Regions from separate parts of the Mus musculus genome. Here all the other regions are reported to be linked to region 3. The links are microRNA targets in miRTarBase. Many come from high-throughput screens and were not tested one by one. Region 3 holds a microRNA gene; each other region holds the end of a gene's coding sequence.
What was found. Region 3 holds the annotated microRNA mmu-miR-883a-3p (UAACUGCAACAGCUCUCAGUAU, at 3,538-3,559, opposite strand). A microRNA usually pairs through its seed, bases 2 to 8, with sites in the 3' UTR of a target mRNA and lowers its output. Matches are read on the target gene's strand: a 7mer-m8 pairs with bases 2 to 8, a 7mer-A1 pairs with bases 2 to 7 and ends in A, and an 8mer does both.

Region 1: the mRNA of Rad52 is a reported target of mmu-miR-883a-3p. Seed matches in the 3' UTR shown: 7mer-m8 at 1,192-1,198.
Region 2: the mRNA of Rbm39 is a reported target of mmu-miR-883a-3p. Seed matches in the 3' UTR shown: 7mer-A1 at 981-987.
Region 4: the mRNA of Zbtb41 is a reported target of mmu-miR-883a-3p. Seed matches in the 3' UTR shown: 7mer-m8 at 5,210-5,216 and 7mer-m8 at 3,429-3,435.

What each region holds. Positions count from the first base shown.
Region 1 is chr6:119,921,387-119,929,150 of GRCm38, forward strand. It overlaps Rad52 (RAD52 homolog, DNA repair protein), which reads left to right. Exons shown (of 12, transcript NM_001166381.1): 12 at 1,086-1,437. The coding sequence ends at 1,147. Wnk1 (WNK lysine deficient protein kinase 1) reads right to left here. Exons shown (of 28, transcript NM_001199084.1): 27 at 5,661-5,848; 28 at 2,583-5,301. The coding sequence ends at 4,984. Among named protein-coding and RNA genes, the nearest start is that of Rad52, 23 kb to the left of the region's middle.
Region 2 is chr2:156,141,059-156,148,726 of GRCm38, reverse strand. Rbm39 (RNA binding motif protein 39) reads left to right here. Exons shown (of 17, transcript NM_001291114.1): 16 at 364-442; 17 at 536-1,488. The coding sequence ends at 636. Nfs1 (nitrogen fixation gene 1 (S. cerevisiae)) reads left to right here and starts at 4,541. Exons shown (of 13, transcript NM_010911.2): 1 at 4,541-4,707; 2 at 5,269-5,360; 3 at 6,485-6,601. The coding sequence starts at 4,587. It overlaps Romo1 (reactive oxygen species modulator 1), which reads right to left and starts at 4,574. Exons shown (of 3, transcript NM_001164216.1): 1 at 4,447-4,574; 2 at 4,138-4,268; 3 at 2,933-3,125. The coding sequence starts at 4,268. The coding sequence ends at 3,017.
Region 3 is chrX:66,777,231-66,784,994 of GRCm38, forward strand. Mir883a (microRNA 883a) reads right to left here and starts at 3,603; the gene lies at 3,528-3,603. It overlaps Mir742 (microRNA 742), which reads right to left and starts at 3,207; the gene lies at 3,143-3,207. Mir743b (microRNA 743b) reads right to left here and starts at 102; the gene lies at 26-102. It also overlaps the pseudogene Gm14681.
Region 4 is chr1:139,446,424-139,454,187 of GRCm38, reverse strand. Zbtb41 (zinc finger and BTB domain containing 41) reads right to left here. Exons shown (of 11, transcript NM_172643.5): 11 at 1,181-7,313. The coding sequence ends at 6,658. Among named protein-coding and RNA genes, the nearest start is that of Aspm, 4.5 kb to the left of the region's middle.

The DNA of each region.
Region 1 (7,764 bases), not on the chromosome of region 3:
TAGTGCACCTCTCCAGAGAGAACCAAGTGTACTTCCTTTGGTATTTTGTCTGTGGAAGAGGCCAGCCTGAGCTCTATGAGGTATAGATATGCCTCATAAAAGATGAAGTCTGTGGGCTGGGTATTTAGTCCAACCAATGGTATAACACTTACCTAGTATGTTGTAAGGCCTTGTGTTCAATCGGGCCAGTAAGGAATACATACATATTAAGATCCTGTCTCAAAAGGAGAAAAAAAAAAAAAAAAAAAAAAAAAAAAGCTGGGCAGAGTCCTTTACCTGAGCAGTTCAGGTAAAGATAGTGGTTTGATACAGGGGAACACCAGGGCCAAAAAGGGGGAGTGGGTGGGCAGGGGAGTGGGGGTGGGTGGATATGGGGGACTTTTGGTATAGCATTGGAAATGTAAATGAGTTAAATACCTAATAAAAAATGGAAAAAAAAAAAAGATAGTGGTTTGAGCTTTGGACTCTGGACATCATGGCTAGATCTGTTTAGATCTAGAATGTGGTGTGTCCAACATGAGACTTGGGAAAGTTATGAGTGTTTGCATTGACAAAGTTACAAACTTAATTATTTTTGTAACTTGATTGCATGGCTCTTGAGCTGCAAACTTTGATGATAGTGTTTTATAATGTCAAAATGTTGGACACACTACTTGTCCTGATTGCATTTAGATCACTTCTTCCTCAAGGTAGATATGTCATAATGAGAATGACACCACAATGGTCACTCATTGTGTGTTGTCTAAATGAGGGTTGTTGGCCAATACAGTCCAGAAATGACTACATCCCAATCACAGCCCCCCGCCCCCCAGTCCCTCTCCTTCTCAGAGCCTAAGGGAAGCCTCCCTTGGGTACCACCTCTTCCTGGGACTTCTAGCAGGACTAGGCAAATTAGGAGTCCTAATCAGGCAGTCCAGTTAGGGGAAGAGGATGCAATAGCAGGCAACCGTGAGACAGGCCCTATTCTAGTTGTTAGGGGACCCACATGAAGACCAAGCTGCACGTCTGCTATAAAAATGTTGTGGTGGGGGGGGGGCTACTGTTTAAAGTCAAGGCTGCTGTATTTAAACCATTATCTTCTACAGAAGACTCTGAACCTCATAGGAAGAGCCAGGACCTGAAGAAAAGGAAACTAGATCCATCCTGAGACTCAAGATGTCACTAGACCGTCACAAAAGGACTTTGGAAAACTGCAGTTTGGTCACAAAATTGTTCCACCTTGGCTCATGCTGAACTCTTTAGAGGACTATAGAGGAAGCTAACTACTTAAAAAGGTTGTCATACCCCATGATGGGAAGGAGGCCAACAGATAAACTTTGTTCAGTATTACTCACTCCTAAGCTGATTCTAGGACCTTGCAGGCTGCCTTTCATTTAACGATGTTGCCCACCAAGCCCCAGCATGACTGTTACCTACATTAAATTATGTGTGACCTCATCTTTCCTTTGGCTTCAGGTTTTTAATGTTTTCCACTAAGCATTGCTATGAACAAGGTCATGTTGTCGGTTCAGGATCACATGCGGATCCATGGAGGAGTCTCCCTTTATCCAGAGATGTGCCAACACTTAAAACGGGGTGCTTAAGGCACTGGATTAGTTGGCATTCTTTTTAGTAGGTTTTTTCCTTTGGAGATGATTTTTTTTCATGTAGTCCTGGAACTTGCTTTTTAGACCAAGCTGCCTTGAACCTGTCCTCTCCCTCCTGAGTGCTGGGATTAAAGGTGTGCACCATCACACCTGGCTCCTATTAGTTCTGCTGTTAGTGTTTTTTTGAGCCATCAAGTAATGTTTGAACACTGACACTGGCAGAATTGGTGTAACTTACAATTGAGATTACTGGTAGTTTAGGCTTCTTGCATGGCTGTACTTGGCAAAGGCATAGTTAGGGTAAGATTCTTATCATACTACATGAATAGTGCACCATTTTAAAGAATTGTTTTCTCTGGCTGAAGAGCCTTTGAGTGAAAAGCCATGGGTTGTTGGGAAGCCATAATTTCTCACTTAAAGAAGGGTGGAATTGGCTACACAGAGAAACCCTGTTTCGAAAAAACAAAACAAAAGAAGAAGGGTGGAATCATGATCCATATGGTTTCTGGGAATTGAACTCAGGATATTTGGATGAGAAACTACTTAGCTGTCTCCCTAGGAATAGGTGTTTTAAGGAAGTAACTGTTCTTTAACTATACCACACCCAAAGTTTCATGATTCTTTTCAAAGGAACAATGAACTTCCAATTCTACTTAAGCTGAATTTAGGGTTATGCTATGAGGGAATTGGTGAGTCCCTGGGACCAGGCACAGGCTTGGTGAGAAAGAAGTGCCTCTAGCCCCTGTGCCTAGTCTTGAAGCAGGGACAAGATCTGTTGGTGAGAAACTGAGACCTATGTCAGACGCTGTTGACTGACAGCAGTTTGCAATAATTTCCCTGCCATCTAACAGCTGTTGCTTTGCCTTTTCCTGAGGACTAGCAACAGACTCCTTGGAGAAGTGCCACTTTCACCCTTAACAGCACGATTTTAGTTATAAATGGTAGGGCCAGTGAGGACAAAAGGGTTTTTTGTTTGTCAGAAAGAACAACCCACAGTTCAACAAAAGCAAGTTTGGTTTATTTGAATGGTTTCATTAAATAAGTCTACAAAGGTAACAAACTGAAGCACAAAGCGCAATCTTACAGAAGCGCAGCCCCCGGAGTTAGTGCAAATGTACAGGTAACGGCTGCTGAGAAACCCCAAGGTTTGAATTCAGTTTTAAACAGTGTACATTGTTAAATAACGTAAGGAAAACATTTATAATTCGGAAAGTTCTTTTTAAATGTGGAAAGATACTCAAAGTGTACTATTAACACAAAAATAATTTAAACAGTTCAGTAGCACTAGCTCGTTTCTCTAGGCTTCAGTTATTTCATCCACAGGAGGGGGAAACCAACAGTAAGTAAACCTCTGTGAAGGGGGAACAGACCTCACTCAGAATGACTAAACCAAACACCACATGCTGCATTTGGCTCCCTCTACTGCTGGTATGAAGCACTCAGTCATCCTGTAACCTGCTTCACTCCCACAGTACCTCTTACCGCTCCCAAAAGGAATAAATGAGTCAACACTTTGGTAGCACGACCTGAAACAAAAGCCCTGCTCATTACACTTCCCTCTCCTGAAACTTTCAGCTCTCACTTGTATCTTTGGGCCTCGACCAACTTAAAAAGAACAAGACTCTTACAGGAAGAAGCCTTGCTAGTGTGGCAACTCCTGGGATGTGTCATAAAGTTGGAAATGTGTCAGTTCCCAACTCAAGGTGAAGGAGGAAGCACCCAAGAAATGAGTTCTACTTTTTCCACTTTTCCAGAATATTCAGATCCCAAACAGCCAATTAGGTCCCTATTGCCAGAAAATCAGATAATACTGGTTGGTTGCTGTTATTTGGGGATATGGGTATGAAAATGTGAGAGTATTAGCTCTAATATAGAAGTACAGGCAGCACAATAGATTCTGACTGTGCAACCATTTGGACAGCTAGGAAAGGAAATAAGCACTTTTTCCTACAATGCTTAGAAAGTTAGAAGTGGGTTGAATTCCCACAATACAGTACTTAAAGCAGAGAAAGTGTGGTGGTACTTGTGCAACAAGAGGTGGGGGCAACCGAGCAGGTTTCCTTAGAGCAACATTTTCCATCTGTGACTTGGCACTGTCATCCTTCCCAACTTAAAATCTAGCCCACTCCCCTCTTTTTGTTTAATCTCTTCTAGATCTCGTTTGTTCACTGGCCAAGCATCACTTCAAACAAGCTTGTCCCCACATCTTCAGTCCTTATCTTTCACACACAGCTCACAACCCTCCTCATTCTTTCTGAAACAGAACTTTGTTTTCAACCACTGATGCCAACTTCACTGTGCTCACCTTACACCTGCTCTAGGCAAAATTGAAACGACTGAGAAAACAAAACAAAACAAAACAAAATAATAAACCAAACCAAAACCAAAAACACTTTCATTTTCCCTTTGGCATATCCACTGCTGGGGTCATGTGGACCTAAGATTTCTTTCCACATACCCTTTGGTGACCTGGGGTCTGGTAAGTTGATGCTAACAGCAGAAGCAATAGAAGTCCAAGGCACTAAAATATCCAGCAAGCAATACTGGGAGAACAGAAGTATTCAAGTACAGTAATTTATACAATTTTACATTCACATTTATTTATCTAATACAATGGAAATACAAAGGAAAAAGTTAAAGTGTCTTAATAAGTAAAGGACAGAGCTAGCTTTTGTGTGTGTGTGAACCTTTTAAACCTTTCAAATTTTTCTCTTAAAACTAATGTTGTCCAACAACATTTATATATCACAGTGTTTCCACATCAAAACTGATGGCAAAGTTACATGTCCGCAGGGAACGTTATTGTTTTCCCTAATTGCTAATGCTGCAGTCAAAGCTGCTAATATCTTTTGCTTAAAGCATTAATGACCTATGTAAGAAAGGGTTGCAACCCCAGTCCCCTGGTATTTTTCACTAGGTTGTAAAAGGGGGGGAAAAAGTGGGGGTAGGGATCAGAGTGGGAGAGAACCTTTGTCTTAAGGTGTGCATTGTTGAGGGAATAAGGAATTTGGGACACATGTCAAAATTAAAGAGCTCTGCCCACTTACAGATACAGATCGGGTTTGGCTTACATTGAGCTCTTGGGGCTTTCTGGTAACAAGGTTCTCTTCTAGTTCTAGGCCTTACTGAGGGGTACAAAAACAGAAAAGCAGTCTCAAGCAGCCCCTCCACCAGAAAGCTGTTCATTCCTTCTTTTTTAACTCCAACAAACGGAGAAGGAGGGTGGTTCTCCATTCTGAGGGCTCAAAATGGTATTAAAAACATTCCCTTCTGGCAAGAAATAACCAGTTAAATGCAGCACTAGTAGTTAGTATATAGGCTACTTCCCCACCCCCCCACCCCCCCAGCATTCCATTTCCTGCCCCCAAATCTACTCAGTTAACATCCTTGCTGCTGACTAGGTGGTCCGTAGATTGGAACCTGGGGGGTTGCTGATGGACTTCTGCAAATTGCTGATGTTGAAATTTTGCAAGGATGCTGTTCCTACAGGTTGGAACTGGCCAAGTGGCTGCGGTGCTGGACCACCTGTTCCACTCCACTGAGTGCCAAATGGGGCAGGTGGAAAACCATACTGCTGTGGGGGACACATGGATTTGGTGAAGTGACCTAGAGAGGTAGCAGATGCTGCAGAGATGGGGGTAGAGCCACCCAGGTTTGAGGTCATGGGAACACACAGCTGCCCAGGAGCAGAGAACTTCCTTGCCATTCCAGGGCCCTAAAAACAAGAAAGTAGCAATGAGAATTTGATGAAAAATGGGTGATACTATAATGCTGTTGTAGAGCTGAGATGTTCTAATCTTAGCATTATCAAAATATAACGAAGCCGCCCATATTTATTGGCTTTACCCTTAACAAGGAGGAGTGAAAAGTAGGATCTGAGATGTGTTTTATGTGCACATGCAGGTAGTGCAGGATGTTGAAGAAAAAGGGTACCAAAATGATTGCTGCCTTGTTTTCTCAATAATAGAATCCACAGGCTACTGAAGATGGTAGTGGTAAGGATGGCATACCAGCCTTGGCTGTCCATGACATGTCTGTGTATAGTCTGGCAGGTTAGGAAAAGGGAAGACTCACCTCATAATTCATGTGTCCTTTGCTGCCTCTCCTGCCTGAAAGATTCATGGCATCTCGGGCCCAGTTGTCTACTAACTTGTGCAGGTCATCTGTGAATGTGCCCTTCCTACTGGAAGTCATAGCAGGAGGCTGAGCCTGGGCAGCCTGGCTACTCACTGTTCCTCCAACGGTATTTGTGCTGCTGGTCCCTAGAATTATAAGTAACACAATATTAGCATTAAAGTAGGGTTCTGGGATATAACTTTGGGGAAAGGGGAAAATGTCATAGGGTAATGATTGGCAAGCCACGGAATGGGGAGAATATTTGGGAAGCCATGCAGGAGAGGAAGATTTTGAAGTATTACTTATCCATTTGCTTTTGCACAACAGGTAGTGAAAATGGTTTCTCTTCCACAGCTTGTAGATAAGGCTAAACAACATGGAGTGATGGCAGGCATGAAGGGAAGGGCATTTTCTAACACTGGGACTGTCTGCCAGTATTCTATTCCCAGCAACATACTGATGAGGGAGTGATATGGTCCACGGGGCTGGCTGCTATGGAACTTTGAAGAGAGCAGGGCCAAAGAAGTACTGTGCACTGGGCAAGTTATATAGTACAAAGGCAGAGATCAGGGCTTCTGTGGAAAAGATGGGGTTTCCAGACAGCATGTATGCTGTGGCATTCGTTCTTTAGATGCTCTTCAAACAAATAGAAATAAGGAGATGCTACATGCTTTGTTTAAAAGTTTTCACCTGAAACCATAAACATAAATTTGAAAATATAAATTTGGAAGGAGTCGAGGCTTCAACTCCTCTCTATGTCCCATGAATAAAGAACTGAGTTTTGGCAGCAGCAGAAATGCCTGAAATTCTCAGCTCCATGAAGTTATGACTTCTTGAGGACTTGGGTTTTAACTGGTCAAGGATTCTCATCCCTTCTCCCCATTCTTCCCAACAGAAGAAGCACTCCTGGGTTGAAGCAACAGGAAAATGCAGCTGAGGCAGGGGTGCAGAGGGGAGAGAAGGCATAGAGGTTATGATGAAGGATTTCTATTTCTATGGTTTGATGAAAAAGAAAGGAGGAGTCTGTGTCCTGCCTGATTTCGGTTCAGCTGGAGGGCACACTGAAGGTTATTCGTAGAGGCAAGTTTTAGGGAAGAGGGAAAGAAGAGTCATGGTCTTATTTTTGGTTTTTATCCCCCACTTAATTAGTAGACTTTACATTTACTACACAGTAAATAAAGGTTACTAATGTTGTGAGCCAGAAGGTCCTACCATACTCAAGGAACTCTGGGACTAAATGCATGCGTTTTCCTGCTTTTAAATGCCAAAGCAGCACACCAGAGCACAGCAGCACACCTGAAGCAACCCTACTGCAATCCACTGTTGGTACCAAAGGGTGTATCTATTTTACCACAAAGGGAATGTCTCTAGCTAAAAGCATGTCTGTGCTAGAGGAAAGCTAACTTGGGTAAAGGTGCAGAATAAGGATGCTCACATGCTTCTTTGGTTGCTGTGGCAAGACATGAATTGTTGCAGTCACATGGTGCCTGCTAAAACTGCAGAGGATTGTTACTATACAGTGTAAAGGTAGAGTAATTCACCTACAGTATAGGAAACCAAGTGGGAAAGTATAAAAGCACAGGAAACAGCCTTCCTTGAATAGCAAGTGTGGGACAAAGGTGCAGTGGGAAGGAAGCACAGGCTGTGAGATGGGCAGTTACAACAGTGAGGAAACCCAGAAAGCAGGCATGTGGCATGCACGAGGACTAGCATCCTGCTAGATGACAGGCCAGATGATCGAAACAATAAAAATATCCACAAGTGAGCAGAGCTGTCGATGCCAGATGAGAAGCCAAGGCAGGGTGAGCACTGCTTGTCAGAGAGCTCATGCCAGAGGTGACACTTCTCTAGTCTCATGCTCTTGATGTTGTGAGGGCCTTTAAAACTAAACACCATTCATTTTAGTCTATATTCCTCAATACTGTATTCTAAAAATGAGCTTTACCGTACATGTGAGCGTCACCCTACAGTTAGCTTTTTATTGTAGTTTCTGACTATAAAGTAGGATTAACAGGCTTTCTGCGGTGTGGTTACTTTAAAATGTTTTCAGTTCCCTGAAAGC
Region 2 (7,668 bases), not on the chromosome of region 3:
TGCTTTCTTAGTGTTTATTTCCTGAAAGTGACTTATATGTGCTAGCTAAATAACCAGCTACAAAACAAAGGCAAGTTCAAAATAATGAATATTTGATGAGAGTAGTGTTAACTGATGAGCTAATTTGCATCATGAACCCTGGAACTCTTAACAGCTTCTTTACTCTTTACTCTTTGGGGCCTGGGGAATATAGGGTGAAAAGATCAATGAGAAGATACTAGTTTTCAAAAACATTTGGGGTATTTACCATAAGCTATTAGAATTAATAGTTTCTAAAGAACATTTCTGCAAACATCTAGGATATACTTTTGAGAGTATGTGATCAGTGATTATTTTAATTAATTTTTCTTTTGATAATTTTAGGGCAATGTGTATGTGAAGTGCCCATCTATTGCTGCGGCTATTGCTGCTGTCAATGCATTGCATGGCAGATGGTTTGCTGGTGAGTAACTGCTACGAAGACTTTATGTTGAAACACCAAGTGATTAACATTGAGTAAAAACTGCTTACCCAACTTTTTTCTTTTTGTCAACAGGTAAAATGATAACAGCAGCGTATGTACCTCTTCCAACTTACCACAACCTCTTTCCTGATTCTATGACAGCAACACAACTACTGGTTCCAAGTAGACGATGAAGGAAGATACAGTCCCTTATGTATATAGCTTTTTTTTCTCTTGAGAATTCATCTTGAGTTATCTTTTATTTAGATAAAATAAAGAGGCAAGGGTCTACTGTCATTTGTATACAACTCCTGTTACCTTGAAAAATAAAAATGTTAACAGGAATGCAGTGTGCTCATTATCCCTAACTAGCAAATCCTACTTTATGCAAAGCTGTTCTCTTGTTCTGCTGTTTTAAATGTCCATGTAGAAAATGACATTAAGGATCTATAGAATAGCTCTAGGGGAACAAATGTGCTTTCTGTATAAAGGCAGACAGGTCACGTTTTAATGTTTCAGAAACCTAACTTTTTACACAGCAGTTACAATTCACATTCATGTATTTGGCTCATGGTTCAGCAAAGGTTTCCAGAATCCACATTTAGTGTGTGAAAAGTCTAAGTGGCTGTATGGCTGCTTGGCATTTGATCTTGATTATTTGGCAAGAATGGGATTTCAAAATAATATTTCTCGATGGTAATTTTTTCAATTAATGTCTCTGTAAAAGTTTCTTTGTAAATACTGTATGTTTTAGTGTGTCTTGAGATTCCAAACAAAATGATCCCTGCATTTCCTCAAGGTGGCTGACGTAACAGATTGAGTAAGCAGTCTTGGGCAAGAGATGGGAAATGCAGAAAAAGGTTTTGTCTGGTTGCATATAATCTTTGCTCTTTTTAAGCTCTGTGAGCTCTGAAATATATTTTTGGGTTACTTCAGTGTGTTTGACAAGACAGCTTGATATTTCTATCAAACAAATGACTTTCATATTGCAACAATCTTTGTAAGAACCACTCAAATAAAATTCTCTGAAAAAGGCCACAAGAAAATTTTCGTTTTTCAAATGTTTTCATGTTACAAACTTAAGCAAAGGCTATCACAATATCCTTTGGGTTTCTTTCCTTCTTTTTTTCAAGTTAGTGTTTCAGCATTACATGCCTCAGATCTACCAAAGACTGAATATGTTACTCTCCTAACCTCTGGGCTGCTCGGAAAGGGGAGCTGTGTGTGTCAGCATACATGCCTAGACTAAGCTTATTTCATTCTTAGTGATAGACATCACTGTTGGTTGTCTAATACCACTACTACCAAGTATGTCCTCTCCACTGAAGAAAACAAGTTGCCCCTTGAAAATGCTCTCATCCTTCTCTACGTGTTTATCATTGTCTTTAGCTCTATAGTTTACAAAGTCACAAAAAAATACATAAGCACTACCATTCCTAACTCGACAAAAATAGCACCTCAAACTACTTCCTGGTCCCCAGTTACTCCTTAAAATGCTGAAGTCTTCACTACCTCATTCTTCTCTTTTCTTTTGACACCGAGGTTTCCTAAAGTCTTGACTGTTAAAAGCTGGTCACAAACCAGGAGGATGTCCTCAAACTCAGCTCCTTCTTGTTTCTAATATCCCTATGTTTAAAAAACAATTTCAATGTTTTCTTTATGAACAATGTCTATAAACATTGTTCCTGGATATATGTATACCACATACATGCTTGGTACTTGTGGAGGTCCTCTGGAAGTGAGCTTATAGTTTGTACAACAGGTGCTACGAAGTGAAGCCAAGTACTGCCCCGTCTTTCAATCAATTGGCACAATATGCATTGTAATGAATTATTTAGCCTTTTAGCAGATAGCAACTGTAGGAGGCTGTGGATTGGAACAAGGGAACTTAATTATGAATTCAAAAAAAATAAAGTATGACCTACTTGGGTGTCTAAAGCTTGCCAACCAATATATCTTACATCCTAGATGTATCAAGAGAAAAATAACAAAATTGTTTCTTGAATAAGATGTTCAGTAAAGCGTTTTGAATTGTCAGTTGTTATTACCTAATGACATTCTGAAGATCAACCAGAAAAACTCACCAAGGCTAATCAGGTTTGTATTCTTGGCCATCACAGGGGTAAGGTAACAAAAATTCCTGTAAGGAATTTTGTTAGCAACCTAGATAATTAAAATGTTCAATGCTGAGGCTGGTGATGTTTTTCTGAACTAGACAATCTCATACAATGTGCTGTTAACAGGATACCTGTTAGTAAGCAACTAAAGTTTATTTAATTGGTATGCTGGACAGGTTTAACGACGAGTCTCCATCTTCAGAGTGTTTGGATAAAGTGTGTGTATCAACAAGCCTGGGTAGAGATTTGGTTATTTGTCTCCAGAAGACAGATCATAGTTAGAATGAAACAATTTTGGGTCACCATTGAGATGGGTACTGGGACTACCAAACCTTTGGGTCTAGGATAAATACTAGGTAAAAATAGACTGATATAACGAGAAGAAAACAACTTTATTATTGTACAAGGGTCGAAATGGATGGGGAAGTTTAGGTATTGCAGGGCATCCTAGCCCTAATTAGCATCGTATGCCCATTCCAATGGCCATGAAAGTGCCAAACGTGCCGCCACTCTGCATCATGGTTTTCCCAATGCCGCCCATTAGCTCCCGACCCCGCATTCCGATCCTGAGGAGGAAACCAAGAAAGCAATTTGGGAATACAATTACAGGAATAGAGATTTGAACTAAGTACCCCCCTTTAAAATCTGTTGAATATATTAAGCACTAACAGCTTGACAATCTCATTTGTCATTCTTAAAATGCTACTCTTCCCCACATAGGATTAGCAATGACAAGGAAAATATCTATCTAGGGTCTCTAGGACCTGTGCTGAATGCTGCATTAGTTTGTAGATGCAGAGATAATGAAGTACATGGGCAAGAAAGCAGTCGTGTTTGTGCCTCTATGGTATTTTATCATTGAGTAGCCAGTTTTCTTCTAGATAATTCCTTAGTGTTTTGTTTTGTTTAACCTAGATTGAGTCAAGCGCTGCAATTTATAAACTGCATAAAGTGTAAAATGGACATTACAGACTCGGTAACTACACTTTTTAATTTATTATTTATTATTATTATTATTTATTTTGAGACGGTTTCTCTGTGTAACAGCCCTGGCTGTCTGGAACTCACATTTATATACCAGGCTAGTATCGAACTCAGGAATCTGCCACTCCGTCCAGAGTGCTGGTGGATTTAAGGTGCTCACAGCTAATGCTCGGTGGTTAACTACAGTACTTAGCACTACAATTAAACTAGTGCTGGGTAAATAGTAATTTATAAGCACAGTATCCAAATGTGATAGCAGTTTATCTCAGAGGTAGAATATTTCACTACACCTAATTCTCATCAGGCTTGCTTCATTACATGCAGTTGGGAGTTAAAACGCCATGCAACAATAATAACCCTTCGCTAAGTAATTACGACGTGCCAGATAATGTAAATCATACTAATATGATTGGCTCTTACAAAAGTGGAGGTAAGTGTCCAGTACTCCACTAAACTCAATAACACTGAACTAACAAAGGAGTCAGAAAGCCATTTTGACTTTAGAACTCAGATCCGTAAATCCTGTGCTTTCAACCTCGTCTGAGTGGGCTCTGGAGCCCTCGGAAGGCAGGAAGTTCTGTCCGCGAGGCTCACCTGAGACAGGAGAAGGTGCCGAACAGCGCCCCGGCCGCCATACCCACTGCGCAACCCATGACGAAGCCCATCTTCACGCGGTCGAAGCAGCTGGGCTGGGACTGCCCGTAGGGACCCACGGCCACCGGCATCTGCGGCGAGAGTGCTAGGACAGTGAGGGCCTGGTCACCAGCCGTGGCGTCGGCCAGGGGACGCACAGCAGGGTCACATAGCACCCGGGTCAGAAGCCAGCCCGCGGCACGCCTCCACCACCCTCGCGATGGAGGACCCCGCACGCGCGACGCAGGCCACTGTCGGGCCCCACCTCACCTCGTTCTCCGCTGCGATCGCTCAGCTCGACGTCTCACTCCGAATGCTAGGCGGAGGGCGCTCGCGGTCCGTGGGATCGCTTCCGGAGCACAGCGCAGTTACTTCCGGGAGCATGGGCTGAGGACTTGCAAGCGCCGCGGATGGTGGGCTCTGTGGCTGGGAACATGCTGCTGCGAGCCGCTTGGAGGCGGGCGTCGTTGGCGGCTACCTCCTTGGCCCTGGGAAGGTCCTCGGTGCCCACCCGGGGACTGCGCCTGCGCGGTACGTTCCCTTTCCTTTTCGTTCCCACGGTTTCTGGAGGAGCGAACCCCCTTGGGTCGGTGCTGCTAAGCACTGCATTATTGCGGATCCTACCCGCCTTGTTCCATCGCCCAGTCTCTTAAACCTTCCCGTCGCCCGGTCTCCTATTTGTTTTCGGGAGGGCCCTTACATACTGCTCCGCACTTCCCTTGAGCGGAATTCTCATCCTTCAGTTCTCTCCTGACCAAGTCTTAAAGATGCTAGATGAGCTTCCTCCTGCCGTGAACCTTTGAAGGAACCTGCGCTTTTCACTTTTCTTCTAAATGGCTTTGCTTTTTACAGCTCGTCCCACTCGGTGCTATGTAGTTTAAACATTGCCCCCGACTGCTGCTGCCCGCGCCCTTTCCAAGAACCCTGTGTCTATTACTTAACTCGATGTCTTTCAGCGCGTGTTGTTGTTTGTTTACTTTGACACTGGACCTCCGCCTTCCTTAAATTCACCTCAAAGAAGCTTTGACCATCTGTTGTTTTGTGTGCCCTTCGTCCACGGTTTCTCACTTTGCCACTGCTATCTGTTGTTAGTTGTAGATCATGGCCCCCATTCGCCTGTTCACTCAGAGGCAGAGGCAGTGCTGCGACCTCTCTACATGGACGTACAGGCCACCACTCCTCTGGTAAGGACTAACAGAGGTTCTTTGTAGGGAGGAAAGGTTAGAAGGACAAATTTCACCGACAGGCTAAAATTCATCCGACTTGAGAACTATTAAATGTGCTAGGAAAAGGAGCTGCCAGGAATCAGGAGGCTAAGATGTTAGTTTAGTAGAAAAGGCTTTACTGTTTTTTAGCTACTGACCCTGTCAGATCCTTCCAGTACAGGCATTATAACTAATAGTAATTGCTCGGGTGTTGGAGCTGGACAGTGTGGCATGGGTAGTTTGAGTGAGCTTAAGACCAGCCTAAGCCACATAGGGAGTTTCAAACCTATGTTGTTATTTTGTTTTGTTTTTAATTTTATATATACACAAGGACACTGTAGCTATGCTCAGACACTCCAGAAGAGGGCATCAGATTCCATTACAGATGGTTGTGAGCCACCATGTGGTTGCTGGGAATTGAACTCGGGACCTCTGGGAGAGCAGTCAGTGCTCTTTAACTGCTGAGCCATCTCTCCAGCCCCCTCAAACTTTTGTTTGTTTGTTTGTTTGTTTGTTAAATGTGCCAGGCATTGGTGGCACATGCCTTTAATCCCAGCATGGGGGGCGGGGGCAGAGGCTGGCAGATTTCCGAGTTCAAGGCCAGCCTGGTCTACAAAGTGAGTTCCAGGACAGCCAGGGCTATACAGAGAAACCCTGTCTCAAAAAACCCAAAAAGAAAAAAGAAAAGAAAAGTGTGTATCAGCACACCTGGCAGGCTTATAAATATGAGGTCAGATTCAACTACATAAGACCTTATCTTTCAATAAGTAAATGAAAAAATTAAAGAAAGACTTGTGGGAATTGCAGAACATTGCAGTTTGAAGTGGGCAACCTGGCAGGCTTATAAATATGAGGTCAGATTCAACTACATAAGACCTTATCTTTCAATAAGTAAATGAAAAAATTAAAGAAAGACTTGTGGGAATTGCAGAACATTGCAGTTTGAAGTGGGCATATATCAGGTTGCTATTTGATTAGTGTCTGAGAAGTGGAAGAAAGCAGAGAGTATCTGAAAGGTTGGAAATGCACTGAGCAAGGTTGGCAGGTAATGGTGGCTCGAGCAGGTTCTGAATTGACTTTGGGCTCTGTTTTCTTCTGTTCAGGATCCCAGAGTGCTTGATGCCATGCTCCCATACCTTGTCAACTACTATGGGAACCCTCATTCTCGGACTCATGCATATGGCTGGGAGAGCGAGGCAGCCATGGAACGTGCTCGCCAGGTTAGCACGAAGGACTGTGAGGAGTTCCAGTCAGTGGTCTATGTGACCTATTTCTTTCTTACAGATGGAAATAGCTGTTTTTCTAGAAGAGACTCAGGTAGTAGCTCTGGAATTTGACACTAAGTGTTTAATTAGTTCCCAGCTTCCCTAGGTGACCTCTGACAAATCCGCTCATTTCTCTAAGCCTTGAACTCCTCATCTACCAAGTGGAAAGTGAAATAGTTCATGCTGTATAAGATTATTGGGGAAATTAAATGAGGCAGTGCTCGTAAGGTTAACACTTGTGCATAACTCAAAACACATGTGGAAAGAGTTCAATAAATACATTTTTAAAAATGCATTTCGCGGGTCAATGGGACATGTCCATGGGTACCTTAACACAATGACTTGAATTTGATCCCTTAAATCTCCGTGGTATGTGTAGTTTTGTCTACACCACTTTATGTTCTTGGCTGGTTACACCTGTGTACACGGCCCAGAACCTATCTCACATCCAGGAATAGGAAACCACACACACCACGAGCTGGAGAGTTGGCTCAGCCGTTAAGAGCACTGACTTCTCTTCCAGAGGTCCTGAGTTCAGTTCTCAGCAACAACATGGTGGCTCACAACTGTCTGTAATGGGGTCCAATGCCCAATTCTGGTGTGTCTGAAGAGAGCAACAGTGTACTCACATATTTAAAATAAATAAATAAATCTTTTTAAAAAAGAGCCAGGTGATGGTAGCGCATGCCTTTAATCCCAGCACCTGGGAGGCAGAGGCAGGCGGATTTCTGAGTTTGAGGCCAGCCTGGTCTACAGAGTGAGTTCCAGGACAGCCAAGGCCACACAGAGAAACCCTGTCTTAGTAAATAAATAAATAAATAAATAAATAAATAAATAAATAAATAAATAAATAAGAGAAAACATACACACATCAGTTATTCTTTTTTTTTTAAGATTTATTTATTTATTATATGTAAGTACATTGTAGCTGTCTTCAGACACTACAGAAGAGGGAGTCAGATCTCTCGTTACAGATGGTTGTGAGCCACCATGTGGTTGCTGGGATTTGAACTCTGGACCTT
Region 3 (7,764 bases):
AAGGCATAATAAATGAAGAATATCATGGGCCTTACTCTATTCAGCATGATGTCTTTCACAAATATTTCACATGATGGACACCAGTCTGAACACAGCACTGCACACAACATACTGCCCTCTCCCACTCCTATTTCAGTGTCCTGGACAAAAAGTTAAGTACTAGTTGCATGCTTTGCATCAGTATGACTGATGCTTCATCTTTTTTTCTCTACCATGTAGTAATAACCATCATATTTGAGGATCCTGTCTAAATTCACCTTGAGGATGTATGCTGTGAAGATAAATACAGTATATACTAGTTTTCATGAGCCTTCATCAATTCTTGTAGTCTAGTGTGATAGGTGAACACTAGATTTCTTTATTCACAGGTCCAGGAAATGACAAAATCCTTCACCTTTCATTTCTCCTTCTGAATGTTGTGATCCCAATTTTTTATCTCATTTTGCTGATATTAAATATCCATTAATAATAAACATATTACTTTTATAATTGCACTCTCTGACCATTTTGAGGCATGTGTACAACCTTAAGCACCTTTTAAGTCTAAAAAAGTGGGGCTTTAAATGAGAAATGATGAAAATGGTAGCAATCTCAAGGATGCCTTTGAAGACGAAGTATAAGGTCCAGGGTATACAAAGTAAGGAGCTTGTTGAACATTACTCACTCTGAGAGACCATGTGTACACGCACTTAAGTCTCACTGACATTAATGTGTATAGGGATTGACACTAAAAAGCTTTCAGGAGAAATAGTACTCAGCAGAGAAGAGCCCACCAACTGCTTTTCCATGGTCAGCACTGAAATAACATACATAAAACTTTCAAAATATGGACTAAGCAGGGCATGAATGAGAGAGAGAACAAAGGGGTTAGTTGATTAGAGTGGCTGAAGGGAAGAAACGAAAGGGGAGAATTATAAAATATTTTAATTTAAAAAGCACTTAAAAATTAAAATGAAACTAAACTTATTTTCCATAGTGCTATGTCCCTAATTTTAAATATTTTCACCTATGAGAAATAGGAATTAGATGAAAGGTTCCCCCTATATCTTCACCTAAACAATGTCCTGTGAAGGTAGCTACAATCGATCTTAGAATCAGAAAATACTCTTGCATGTGCATCTATGTTCTTACATTTACAATGACAGTACTTTATGAGTATCCTTATATTGAGAGAGATACCCCAAACTGTTTAAACTGTTTAAACCCTTTTCTTAAAGAGACTTCCTCCACTGCCAGAGATCTTGAATAGCCTCCTGGTCAGTCATCCGGAAACAATTCTTCACATAATTAATGAACTTGGCTTCCACTTTGGGAAGAGAACCGCCTTTTTCTATACTTGCTTGCATTTTTGCCTTAATGTCTTCTACAGAACTAGGTCCTTTTGGTGTTTTAGGAGTCTTTTCCTGTTTTTTGAAGGACTCTTGACCCTTTGATCTCGGTGTTGACGGTTTTAAGTCTTTTCCATTTTGGTTTGATTTTTGTGCATTTTTGGCTGGGGTATCTCGTACAGATTTCTTCACTGGGACCTTTTCTTCAGTTTCCTCTTCATCAAAATCATCATCATCATCATCCTCATCATCCTCATCATCGTCCTCATCATCTTCATCAAGTTTTACTTTTTTCTGTATCCTTATATTGAGAGAGGTTAGTAGAAAGTGACTGGTATCTGTCCTATATCACAATGCACACACCAAAATGAATGGAGACATATCATCTCATCTGACTCTTGCATTACCAAGAAGTTTCAGGAGTCCTTAACTCAAGTTCTTAGGGAATATATATACTCTCCTTCACTTTCTATCTCTACCACTTCTGGATCAGAGAGATAAAAGTCCTTTAACTTTATTTAATTACTGGGAAGGAAATTATTTTTTTTTTCTTTAGATTATCTTCTTTCTTTACATTCTCTATTTTGAAAGTACCCATGAGGTGAAACATGGATAGTCTACACTATGTTGAAAAAGTAAGGATATGGGGCAACAAAGACTCAAACCGTTTCTGTGTTTAGTCTTTCATTAACACAGTGTACCTCATTTTCTTTTTATGAAAGCATAATTCTTAATTTTAGCACCTTGTTCTCCTTTTCCTTACCTAACATAGATGCTTGAATGCTGTCCCATGAAAGTGATTAAAAAGATACACACAATTGTATAGTAAGGCTTTGTGATCATCCTGAAAACCATTATCAGTGATCTTACATGGAAAGCACTAATACTACCTAGAACCTATCAAAAATAACTGAATTAAAGAGCAGTACTTTACCTGGAAGATTTGTCGGTAGTCCAACTGTCTAACAGCTTCTTGAGTGAGATATAACATAAAGCATGAAGATATGGAGGTATCATCCATGTAGGCTAATCATCCCAAGCAGTTTTCATCACTTCACCAATTACAGCATGACATATTAACATTGATTTATTTATTTTCAACTGTTTGGGAATACAAAATATACTTTGTCACCTTGCATGATAAAGGAAGACCTCTTGACCTATAGCCAGATAGCCAGTGTGACTTTAAGATTAATCAGTGATATACTTTGCAAATGACTTTTAAAAACTAGGTAATGAAAATCTTCTAAAAGAATCAGAATATTGGGAGCATAGGATGAGAATACAACACAATTGTACCTGTATATCGCTGTTCAATTACTGGAGAAAGTTACAGAATACAGAAGATAGGAACTTGGTCTATTTAAATTCAAATCACTGATACCATCATAATTTCAGTGACTTGAATTTAAATCTGTTTGGTTCTTTTTCACTTAGGGCCATATTTATAAAGGAAGACTCTAATTACTTGTAGCTTTTCAGTCCACTTTCGTGCACTCATCATCTAAGTTGTCACAAGATATTTGAATTGATATTCAGTTGGGCCTGAAATCATTGATTGGTTTTATTTCTGATATTTATATTCATGATCCCTATTGAGACTGGCATGCAATTTTCTGTTCTTATAATTTGTATAATTTGGGTTCTGTGCAAGCTAGAATAATGCTAACTTCCACAACATTTAAACTTAAAAAAAAAATGAGAGCATAGTTTCTTCAGGTACAAGGAAGCAGATTCTGGAGCCATAATAAGGATGTATAGTTTCTTCATCTTTACTACCCAAGGCCACAACAAATGAAGAACATGATGAGCTTTACTTTACCCAGCATGGTGGCTTTCACCTACACTTCACGTGATTAGCAACCATGTGAGTAGAGCACTGCCCAGGTACTCTAGAACCAGCCCATCTGAAGTCTTTATTTCAACATGTGAAATAAAATTGAATAGAACATTGAAGTAAGTCGTCAACAATAATTACTTTTTTTTTTTAACCACACATTCTTCTTCGAAGCTGTCTTCTCATGTTCCACCATTAGGATTTTTCTTAGTATACTTCTAAAGTTCTACAACCGTTCTCTTCTCTATGGTTATAGATCTGAAGATATCATGAAGATGGATGAAGTATAATCCAGAATCAGTACATTTATCTTCTCTATGAAGGCATAATATGACCATATGGCTACCATCCCTGCGTTTGTTGAGCCTTACAATACTGAGAGCTGTTGCAGTTACTTATAGAATAAAGTAACTGCTACTTCTCTCAGCATTATAGTGCACACGAATTATTATTATTATCAGCTGACTTCAAAAACAACTTTCATGATTCTTCTCAGTATGACATGAATGCAATGTTATTTCTTTACACATAATTCCTCAGGAAGTATAATCATATTTTCCATTATCTTCCATCTCCATTTCAAGGTATCAGACTTGCTTCTTTCTTGATACTCCTCGAATCTGTATGAATTCAAGAGGTTAAGAATTAACAAGTCATAGCCGGGCGTGAATCCCATCACTCGGAAGGCAGAGGCAGGCGGATTTCTGAGTTCGTTTAAGGCCAGCCTGGTCAACAGAGAAACCCTGTCTCAAAAAAACAAAACAAAACAAAACAAAAATAGAATTAACAAGACAAATATTCTTATAAATATATAGGTCAGGTGACACCAAAGAATAACAAATGAACAAGGCAAGACCTCAAGATACCTGCAATGATTTAGTCATCAGCATCAAGAGAATATATCAAATGAAGGCTTCAGTATGTATTAATCTGTACTTTGAGATAGCATAGACTGATCCTTTGTACTTCATCTCAACAACAACAATTTCATCCAACAGCTTTTATCACAATCTTCACAATTAAACACACCCCCACTAAACTGTGTCTGTAAATGTTTGATTTCACACTTAAGCTGATGATATTGAAAATCCAATTGATTTTGCATGTACATTTCACATAAAAACCTGTCACTACCCTAACTTAAAGAGAAATGATGATCACAACAAAACATATTCTTTTATCAAACTTAATTATAATTATGACCAAAGTGAATATGAAATTGTAAAGGATTAATAAAAATATAATTTAAAAAATGTGGATTTTAGGTCAAAAGTTTTATGGGTGGGTTCGTGTCCTTATCTTTCACAGGAGGTCCTGCCTGTTTATAGGAGGTGGCCTCTTCAGGTTCCATGTCCACATTGTTAGGCATCTCAGCTAAGGTCACACACAATGGCTCCTGGGAGCCTTCCCTATCCTAGGTCTCAGGGTCTGCTTAGAGATTACCTCCACCCGTAAGTCCCCTGCAAGATAGAGATTTCCATTCATTCTCCTGGGCCTATGGGCCTCTTTCTTTTCCCTTCCCACACCTGATCCTGCAAACATATCCCCCTCACATACCCACATTGCTCCCTCTGCCTCCCATGACAGTTCTGTTACCCTTTTTAAGTGTGATTCAAGCATCTTCAATTGGGCCTTCCTTCTTGTTTAACTTCTTAGGGTCTGTGGGCGTATGTCATGGGTATAAGTATGTACATACCATGCATGTTCTTTTCTGTCTGGGTTATCTCACTCAGGATATTTTCTAGTTCCATCCATTTGACTGCAAAACTCAGGATGTCCTCCCTCTTAATAGCTGAGTAGTATTCCACTGTGTAAATGAAATACATTTTCTCTATCTATTCTTCAGGTGAAGAATATCTGGGTTGCAGTATTGCTGAATCTTCAGGTAGAACTATTTACAATTTTTTTGAAAAAACACCAGATTGATTTCCAGAATGGGTCTTCAAGATTGCAATCCCACCAGCAATGGAGGAATGTTCTTCTTTCTTCTCCACATCCTTGCCAGCATCTGCTGTTGCATCAGTTTTTTATCTTAGCTATGCTGATTTGTGTAAGATGGAATCTCAAAATTTGTCCTGTCTAAAAGAAATGCAGGGACAAAGATAGATCAGAGACTGAAGGAATGGCCAACCAATAACTCGTCCAAAGTGAGATCCATCAAATGAAAAAACACCAATCTCTGACATTATTAATGATACTCTGTTATGCTTGCAAACTCTGTTATGCCTTGAGAAGTTCCAACCAGAAGCTAAGTGAATAGATGTAGAGTCCCACAACCAAACATTGAACAGAGGTTTCAGACGACTTATGGACAAGTTGGGGAAAGGACTGAAGGGCCTGAAGGCAACAGGAACACCATAGGAAAACCAAATATGTCTACTAACCTGGACCACTGGAAGCTACTGGAGACTTTTTCACCAACCAATGAGCATACATCGGTTGGACAAAGACCCCTGGCACATATGTAGCAGAGGTCAGCCTTGTCCTGCCTCTGTAGGAGAGGATTATCCTAATTATGCAGACTTGATGAGCCTGGATGAGGGGCAATGGAAGAGGGACTGTAAGGGAGGCAACATGAGATATAAATAAAAAACATGATAAGACCAAATTTAAGTATTATTTATCTATAAATCAATCTTTGTAGAGACTGTGCTAGAAGCAAAACTTCACCTTGTGTGAGGAGCCGCCCTCACATTTGCCATTATAAGATGGCACTGACAGCTGTGTTCTAAGTGGTAAACATAGTCTGCACACATGCAGGGGCAGTTTTCCCACCATGTGTTCTGCCTTTCCCGTGATGACAACTGGGCCGATGGGCTGCAGCCAATCAGGAAGTACTACATCCTAGGTGGAGGATAATTCTCCTTAAAAAGGGATGGGGTTTCGCCATTTGCTTGCTTGCTCTCTTGCACTCTGGCTCCTGAAGATGTAAGCAATAAAGCTTTGCCGCAGAAGATTCTGGTTTGTTGCGTCTTTCCTGGCCGGTCGTGAGAACGCGTTAATAAGAATTGGTGCTGAAACCCGGGATCGAACCAGGGACCTTTAGACCTCTCAGCAATGCAGGCTTAGCGGCTGCCATCCTTCAATCCCAAAAATGCTCCATGGGCAGAAATGATCGGAGGACATGTTTTAACTGCAGAAAGCCTGGGCATCTTAAGAAAGATTGCAGAGCTCCAGATAAAAAGCGGGGAACCCTCACTCTTTGCTCTAAGTGTGGCAAGGGTTATCATAGAGCTGACCAGTGTCGCTCTGTGAGGGATATAAAGGGCAGAATTCTTCCCCCACCTGATAGTCAATCAGCTTATGTGCCAAAAAACGGGTCATTGGGCCCTCGGTCCCAGGGCCCTCAAAGATATGGGAACCGGTTTGTCAGGACCCAGGAAGCAGTCAGAGAGGCGACCCAGGAAGACCCACAAGGGTGGACCTGCGTGCCGCCTCCGACTTCCTACTAATGCCTCAAATGAGTATTCAGCCGGTGCCGGTGGAGCCTATACCATCCTTGCCCCCGGGAACCATGGGCCTTATTCTCGGCCGGGGTTCACTCACCTTGCAGGGCTTAGTAGTCCACCCTGGAGTTATGGATTGTCAACATTCCCCTGAAATACAGGTCCTGTGCTCAAGCCCCAAAGGCGTTTTTTCTATTAGCAAAGGAGATAGGATGGCTCAGCTGCTGCTCCTCCCTGATAATACCAGGGAGAAATTTGCAGGACCTGAGATAAAGAAAATGGGCTCCTCCAGAAATGATTCTGCCTATTTGGTTGTATCTTTGAATGATAGACCTAAGCTCCGCCTTAAGATCAACGGAAAAGAGTTTAAAGGCATCCTTGATACCGGAGCAGATAAAAGTATAATCTCTATACATTGGTGGCCCAAAGCATGGCCCACCACAGAGTCATTTCATTCATTACAGGGCCTAGGATATCAATCATGTCCCACTATAAGCTCTGTTGCCTTGACATGGGAATCCTCTGAAGGGCAGCAAGGGAAATTCATACCTTATGTGCTCCCACTCCCGGTTAACCTCTGGGGAAGGGATATTATGCAGCATTTGGGCCTTATTTTGTCCAATGAAAACGCCCCATCGGGAGGGTATTCAACTAAAGCAAAAAATATCATGGCAAAGATGGGTTATAAAGAAGGAAAAGGGTTAGGACATCAAGAACAGGGAAGGATAGAGCCTATCTTACCTAATGGAAACCAAGACAGACAGGGTCTGGGTTTTCCATAGCGGCCATTGGGGCAGCACGACCCATACCATGGAAAACAGGGGACCCAGTGTGGGTTCCTCAATGGCACCTATCCTCTGAAAAACTAGAAGCTGTGATTCAACTGGTAGAGGAACAATTAAAATTAGGCCATATTGAACCCTCTACCTCACCTTGGAATACTCCAATTTTTGTAATTAAGAAAAAGTCAGGAAAGTGGAGACTGCTCCATGACCTCAGAGCCATTAATGAGCAAATGAACTTATTTGGCCCAGTACAGAGAGGTCTCATGCTGGTTAATCAACTCATAGATCTTGTCCAGATACAACTAGATGTATTATGACAAATAACTCAGCAGGGATGTGAACAAAAGTTTCCGGGATTGTGTGTTATT
Region 4 (7,764 bases), not on the chromosome of region 3:
CCAGCATCTGAGGCTATACCAGGGTTCCCTATTGCCTTAGCACACGTCTAATGTTTCTCCTATGTATTTGAAAAGTGCCTCTAATTGGCTTTGTTTTGTTTTGTTTTGTTTTTCCCGAGACAGGGTTTCTCTGTATAGCGCTGACTGTCCTGGAACTCACTCTGTAGACCAGGCTGTCCTGGAACTCAGAAATCCGCCTGCCTCTGCCTCCCAAGTGCTGGGATTAAAGGCGTGCACTACCACGTCCGGTTGCCTCTAAGTATTGTAAAAACAACAACAAAACAAAAACAAGACCATCATTGACTTGTTACGACCTTGGAACATCGAACTTGGAATAAATTATATCTGTGTCCATTGGCCATGGTCTTTCATATGTGACCTCTGAATAAACACTCTCTTAAACGGGACCAGGCTGAGTTTTCATTTTGTGCCTACAAACAATGCTGTACAGTTAATGTGATTTCTTTTTAGTAACTTGTGTGGTTTACCAACATTGTGTCACTATGTCAGAAAGTTCCACAGTGATTGTCACACATTACCAGTTAGCCAAGAAATATTTATATAAACCAAGTCTTCCTATCTGACATGTCTGTTCAGAACTAACCACCTTTATACGTTTCCTTGGCTGACCAGAGATGTAATGAGCTGGTAGCATGTTGTTGGGCTGTTTTGTGTTTTTTAGACATGATCTCTCTTTGTGATTATAACCAATAGTGATGGCACATTGAAGACTGGAACAGAAATGGAGCTTGTTAGGTTGGGGTGAGATCCTGTAGAGTTATTAACATTTTACAGCAAGCCTTCCCCCCAAAACCAGAACGAAGAATTGCAGAAATGAGGGGAGGGGGAGGAATGCCCACTTTTAGTATTTTATAGGATATAGTTTTTCAGTAATAGAATTTTGCTACACTTTAAAATTCCCCAAAAGCAATATGACTACTTCAAAGTTATCTCTATCTAATACTTGAAAATATATATAAAAAAATTAAGGCCGATTCAACTATGTATTTAATATATATTTAAGATATTTTAAATAATTTGTAATTTATTAAAATCATGTTTCAAAACGTTCCCAAGATACTTGGTTTTGCCTTTGTTCATCATTTTTACGTTTTATATAGAGACTTGCAGAACATTGTGACCCCACGCTGAAAGTGTAATGTGAAAAGAACCTGGGTGTGCTTTACTAGGACCAAAGAACTGTTTATTTTAAATATCAAAATAACATAAGGAACTAATTTAATATGCAAGACCTCATCTACTCCTCACAAGGAACTGAATTTTTGCTATACATTTATATTTAAGGAACACGAGACAAACAAAATATCTACTAAACTTAAGACATTTGTCATACAGTGAAAAATAATGAATTTTGATATTTTAGATTTTCCTTTGTAATTGCTTTTAAAACTGTCCTTAATTAAAAACAAAGATTCTGATTAGAGACAGAAAACAAAAGCATTTCTATTTCAATATATACCATTTCTCCCTTAAATAGAACAGTTATGACAGAACACAGAGCAGCTAAACACCTAGCTTTTGGCAATCACCCTCATCAACTGTTAATAGTTACAAGGAGAAAAGTCGGATTGTTAAAAGGATAAAGTTCAGTAATCACACCACAGTACATTATTCAACTTTATACAAGCAGGAATATCAAACAGAGAGGCATAGTGACAATGAGATGTACACATGCTCTTCATTCAAGAGACGTTTCAGAATCTCCGGCAGTAATGCAAATTTTGAAATTGCTTAGCTTTACTTGAGAATTCAGAAGGTTTTCATCTTTAAGTAACATTTGTTCTCCAAATAACATCTTTAAATTCTCTTTAAATAAGTGGCTTGGGGATCTTTCAAAGATCACAGACTTAAGACCAATATACAGTAAGTTAAAACACGAATAAGTCGAACGTAAGCACACCCTCCTTGCCAAATCACCGTCTTCTCATCTCCCACACAATCAATCTAATCCTATTGCTTTTGTAATAATAACCCACTTCCAAAGAGGAAGCGCAAGACATGCTGATAACACAAGGGAAAGTATTGTAAGTAAAAATGTTATAAGAAACATGGAAAGACACCAAAAAAGAACACACAGAGATTACTAAAAGGAAAACAGGCAAAAGAAATGAGTGGGATATGCAGAATTGTCAAGTTCCTATAAGCTGTGTAGAAAATTACTCTCAATTCATTACTCACACTAATAGTAGGTAACATTTAACATAATTCCACTTAAAAATTAAGAAACAGTACTTATTCCTTATTAAATTATTCATTTTCAGTCTTTTGAAATTTGGCACTAAATATGTCCAAACATGACTGTTGAAAAGTCGTGCTTTTTCCTGAGTCATCAACTCAAGTTCAATGTTGACTAGGATGCCGCCGCTCACTAACAGCAGCTCTTCTTACACCACCAACCACGTTCAGTTCAAGGAAAGTGAACTAAGTCTCCGGTGCAGAGCTGTGTGTTCCTGGTAACAAGTTCCTTAAGGGGAGAGCAGTCAGAGAGAAAGAGTAACAAGAGGAGCAGACATACAATTCCTTCTCTCCGATTCTGCTCAACATCTAGACAGGCTGAGGAGTGACTCCATAGCTATAAAGGCCACAGTACAAACTTAAAAGAAGACATGTAAATTATAATAAAGACCGATGTCCACACTACTGCGAAATGCCAATTTTCCTAAGTTAATATAACATGTAAAAGGCTATTGCCCAGCCAGCAGGCAACAGGGATATTAAGACTCAGAACCAAAAAATAAAACAAAATGAACAAGTCATTTATTTACCAGTACAATCTAGGCAACAGAGAAAATGCTACACAACTACACATCTCTGAAAAAGTACAAAGTATTCAAATTCAGAAAAGATGGTCTAAAAGGACACTCTTAACTAATGTTCAAACCTCTTGATAAATAATAAATTAGAGTGATATTGTAGGAAGAACACTCAAGCTCATAGACACAGCAGGTTAGTTGTGTTTAGGTAACTTGTGATTGAGTGAGAAAGCAATAGGTGGAACAGATTAGCCCTTAATACTTTACAGTCACTCCAAAAAGGTGTTTTTTGACACTTTTTAAGGTTGAAAGAAAGCAGTGTACTTCTTTTATGCTACCATCATTAAAAGGCAGTCAGTTTATTAAAGCACCAGTTTAAATGGTATTTTTATTCCTCTTTGCCCAGCAGAAAGGCTCTAGATTAAGCCTGCAAACTTTACTACTTTTATAATAGCTTAAAGGTATCTTGCTGGCATGAGGAAGAAACCCTATGGTTACGTAGTATTTTAGGCTGTCAAAACCAAAGGGATTTCTTATAAAAATAACCTCGATTTGATCTAAAAAACAAACAAACAAAAAACCTCTAAGGCAGAAATTATTTTTATAATGTAGTGTAAAATATAAGATTATTGAATAGTGTTCATTTAAAAAAAAAACTGCATTCAACTAAACTGAGAGAAATGAGTATTCTCACTTGTAACTGGTTGGTCAGTATGAATGTTCCCAGAGTACTTTCCTCTACTTATTTTATACACATAAACACAAACATTTAATACTTAATCTTAGTATTCAAACTAACAATTTTTAAAATTCAGTATCCAAGGACGTCAGCTGTGCTTCTTTGGACAAATATATAGTCAAACAACAAAGAATTTAAATTCTTTTCAACTACTCAATACCTACTCAAAATCTTTGGTGCATTAAGTCAGTGACAGTAAGTTAATAAATTTCTGCACTCAATAACTTATTCAATTTACAGATTAAGTGCTAACGTATCTACCAAAATTAATTTAAAACAATAAATTATACCCACAAAATATTCACAATGAGGCTAAACGTACGTGTGAGATTCAAAATTTTAACCATAGTTACAAAATAATGATTTTAGAGTCATAAAAAGGACAACTAAGAAGAGTAGGGTCTATTTTATAATTTTTGTGCTAACTTAAAATATTTATACATTCAGTTTTCTCAAATCCATGTTCTTACATTTTTGGAAACTAGAGGGAACAGTAATCTTTTCATTATTATGGGTTTCCTCATTTCTTCCTAAATATTCTACTGTCTACCTGCAGACTGCGTTAGGAACTGGAGAACACAGTCCTGCACATAGTAAGCCTTTTTAATGCCATGTGTCTCCTCCTTCCACTCAAGGCAGTTCTGGCATGAGAGTAGAGTCAAATGACTCTAAATGACTCTCAGTATCTCTCTAAAATGGAAATACATCATTTCCTTTCTATTTCAAAATTGCTTACTAGGTTCAAATGAGATAACATGAAAATGGTTTAAATAACAGACACTATTTCAGCTTTTCTACAATAATAGCTAAGTACAATTATAAAATTGTATGCCACTTTACATAAGAGCTATATTCTTCAAAAGTCCTATGTAAACCAATTACTAAAATTAAGTCATATATTTAAAGTGTTAGAATATCATTATTGAAAGAACCTTAAATACCTTCAAAACCCAAGGTAATATTTCCACTGTGAAAATGCTGTATCCTCCTTTTCTGTCAGAATATACAATTCATCATGCACATAAACACATATATAACATTTGCCTTTTCTGATAAACCCAAAATTTTCTACATTAGCTTATCTCTAAAGCAAAGTACATTTCTAAGTATGATGTTTTCATTTCAGTAAGATAGTTAGAAATCTTCTCTGCCTTTGGATAGAAATCACAAATCTGTACTCTTGACAATGATTTATAAGTCCAGGACTCATAGTGCTCAGACTCTACTCAGTTATCAGTGCCCACAGAACACTTCCACACTAAGTAAGAAGACTTTAGCAATAATAATACAAAATTAAGTTCACTAGTCCAAAGACAATTACAACAACCAAACTTTGATAAGTGAGGCAAAACTCAGGTTATCTTTATTATTTATATTAGCTACTTTGGTTAATGCCTCAATTTGCAACATGCTCTTTGAACATTAATATGGCAACTGTTCCTATAAAGTACCTTCATTTCTTAAGTGCTTAAACAGTTTCCTCCTTTTTGATTACATTTTATTCACTAGAAGTTTATTATTTTATTTGTGATATGTTTTCAAAACCCACAAGGGCCAAGCAAAACGTTACAGTTTACACACACACACACATACACGCACACACGCACACACAAAAGTGCTAAAAGCAATTAGGAGTGTAAACAAATTGAAATAGAAAAGTTTTGACAACTGCTATTTTTCCAGTAGTTTCCATACAAACTGCATGTTAACAGTGAGCCAACCCTACCTGTCTTAAGCATCAGCAACCCCACAAGGAAAAACTCATCCTATATTAAGATGAAATTGAGTTGAAAATAATGCAAAGTGCACATCTCTAAAGATATTTCGTAATTCTGGAAGATTTTGTCCTTCACTTAAACTTAATCTGTGAAGCGCTGCTGTAAATCCTATTTTCTTTCACCAAGACTTCAACCACTGCCTCATCCAGAAACAATGAAGAATAGAGACAAATCTCATACAGAAGCAAAAAGAAAGATCTGGTTTAAGTGTCAATCTATACACCAACAGTAGTGCACTCAGCTGAAGAGCATCCTGTTAAGTTAGGGCGGATTTGAGAATGGGTTTGGCACCTTTTCTGATAACTACACGTAAAATATCTAGGTTCTGTTTCCCTGCTTCAGTCAGCCAAATGTGGTAAATGAAATGCTAACTCCATTGTGTAACTGAACTGCCATCACTTTAGTTACACTTGTCCCTTCCTTCCTTACTCATCTGTAGATACTGACACATACTGGGAACGAGGAGGAAGTGCCCAAATACAAAATGCCAATGTACATTGATGATATGTAGGTGAAACTGACAGTTTTTCATTACGATATACTCAATTAGATAATTTAATGTCTAGAGCTAAGTTTGTATTTATTACTTATCATAGTTGAGTACAGGTCCAATCATCTGGATTAAAATAACAACCTTATATTTCATTTAGCATGCTAATCCTGTAATTGTGAGCTCTTGGATTTTGGCTTGTGAAAAACCCAAATATACTGACAAAAAGAATGGATAGATGACAACCTCAAAGTATCAAGATTTTCTTACAAAAATATGTAAGAAATTTCAATAAGTTTCTAAACTCAACTTTGAAAATCTGAACAAAATATTTAATTAGTATTAAAATTTTGCCAATATTGACATATGTTTACATTCCTTCCTATAGGCTACATGGTTCTTAAAACTTCATAGCAATATGGGAAACGGACAAAACAGATGATTAAAAGTAAAACCTTGGCTTGGGGCTCACACCTGTAATCCTAGCAACTGGTTGGCTAAGGCAGAAAGTCTATCACAAATTGAGGCTACCTGGGCTACAAACTAAGACCCTGTCTCAAAAAAAACAAACAAACAAAAAATTCCACTGATGATTAAAAAAAATACCTCCACCATTGTCAGCAGCTAATAATCTGAAATTTAAAAATTTCAAAATTAGTACTAATGATTTTTTTTTAAAAAATCATACTTCAAATATGTCAAAATGTGTCCAAGTATTCAGTCAATAGAAATAAACTTTTCTTGATTTGAAGCTGTTCTGAAGACTTGAGAAATTAGGGGAAAAAGATGGGGGAAAAAATAGCAGCCCTACTAATTCAAAAGCCATTAGCTTCTGGCTGTCAGCTTACAGCATTAAAAGGCCTATGGAATGGTTACTCATGAACGATGCTCACTACTGCACATATTCTGGACAGCAGCTGTGCTATCAAGGCCCAGTAATGTCCCGAGATAAGATGGTTCTCTAGGATCTAGCATCTGTTCGGGTCGGACGGGATGAACTATATTTGCAGGCTGAGGAGTAAGAGTGTATTTTTCCAGAAATGCTAAGTCTGCTGCACGAGGATAATCAGTTGACTGTGGCTGTGGTGGCAGCATCTCATGGGACGATGTGGGAAGTGTGGTGGTATGAGGCACCAGATCGCTGGATGTGTCAGGCATTTGAACTGGGACCAATGTTACTGGAACACATACTTCTGCAGACACGTTCTGTAGCATAGTCTTGGCTTCCGACTGATAAACTTTGGGCTGGTCCAGATACTGTTTTGTTTCTGCTTGAAAGATCTTATCATCAGATGAGTACTCCATTGGCAAAGACATGAGTTTTTCCTCAGAAGTACTGAGAGAATCATCAGGAGATTTTATCCCATGAACATGGTCAATGTGGTACTTCAGCTTATCTTTCCGCTTAAATGTTGCATTGCAATGTTGACAATTGAAAGGCCGGGCATCAGAGTGAATAACCAGGTGTTTTGTTAAAGTTTTCTTAATTCTAAACGACTGATTGCAAATTTGACACTTGTATGGTTTTTCACCTGTATGGACAAATATAAAATTAATATATAATGTACCCACTTGATAAGCTGGCAAATATTAAGTAGCAAATTTATCACATGCATACCTGTAAAAACAGTAGTGTTTTATGCTATCATAAATGAAGACAGTCTATCAAACTCATAAAATTAATGAATTAAAAACATCAAAATGATCTGGGCTTCAGGCCTGGATAAACCTTTTACTAGCCAAACCTCTAAGCCTGGTTCCCCTCCTGCAATGTAGAACAAGAACAGTTCCTACATAAGGAAATAAACTTAAGTAAATAGGACTAACTAGCTGCTCAGTCCTATTCTCCGGATAATGTTCAGTGCTTGCTTGGTAAGCCTTATCACTATTGCTTTATTACTACTAAAAAACACACACAAAAGGTTTATTAAACCGAAACACTTAATTTTCTTCTACCTACAAAGATTTAAAAGCCAAAACAGC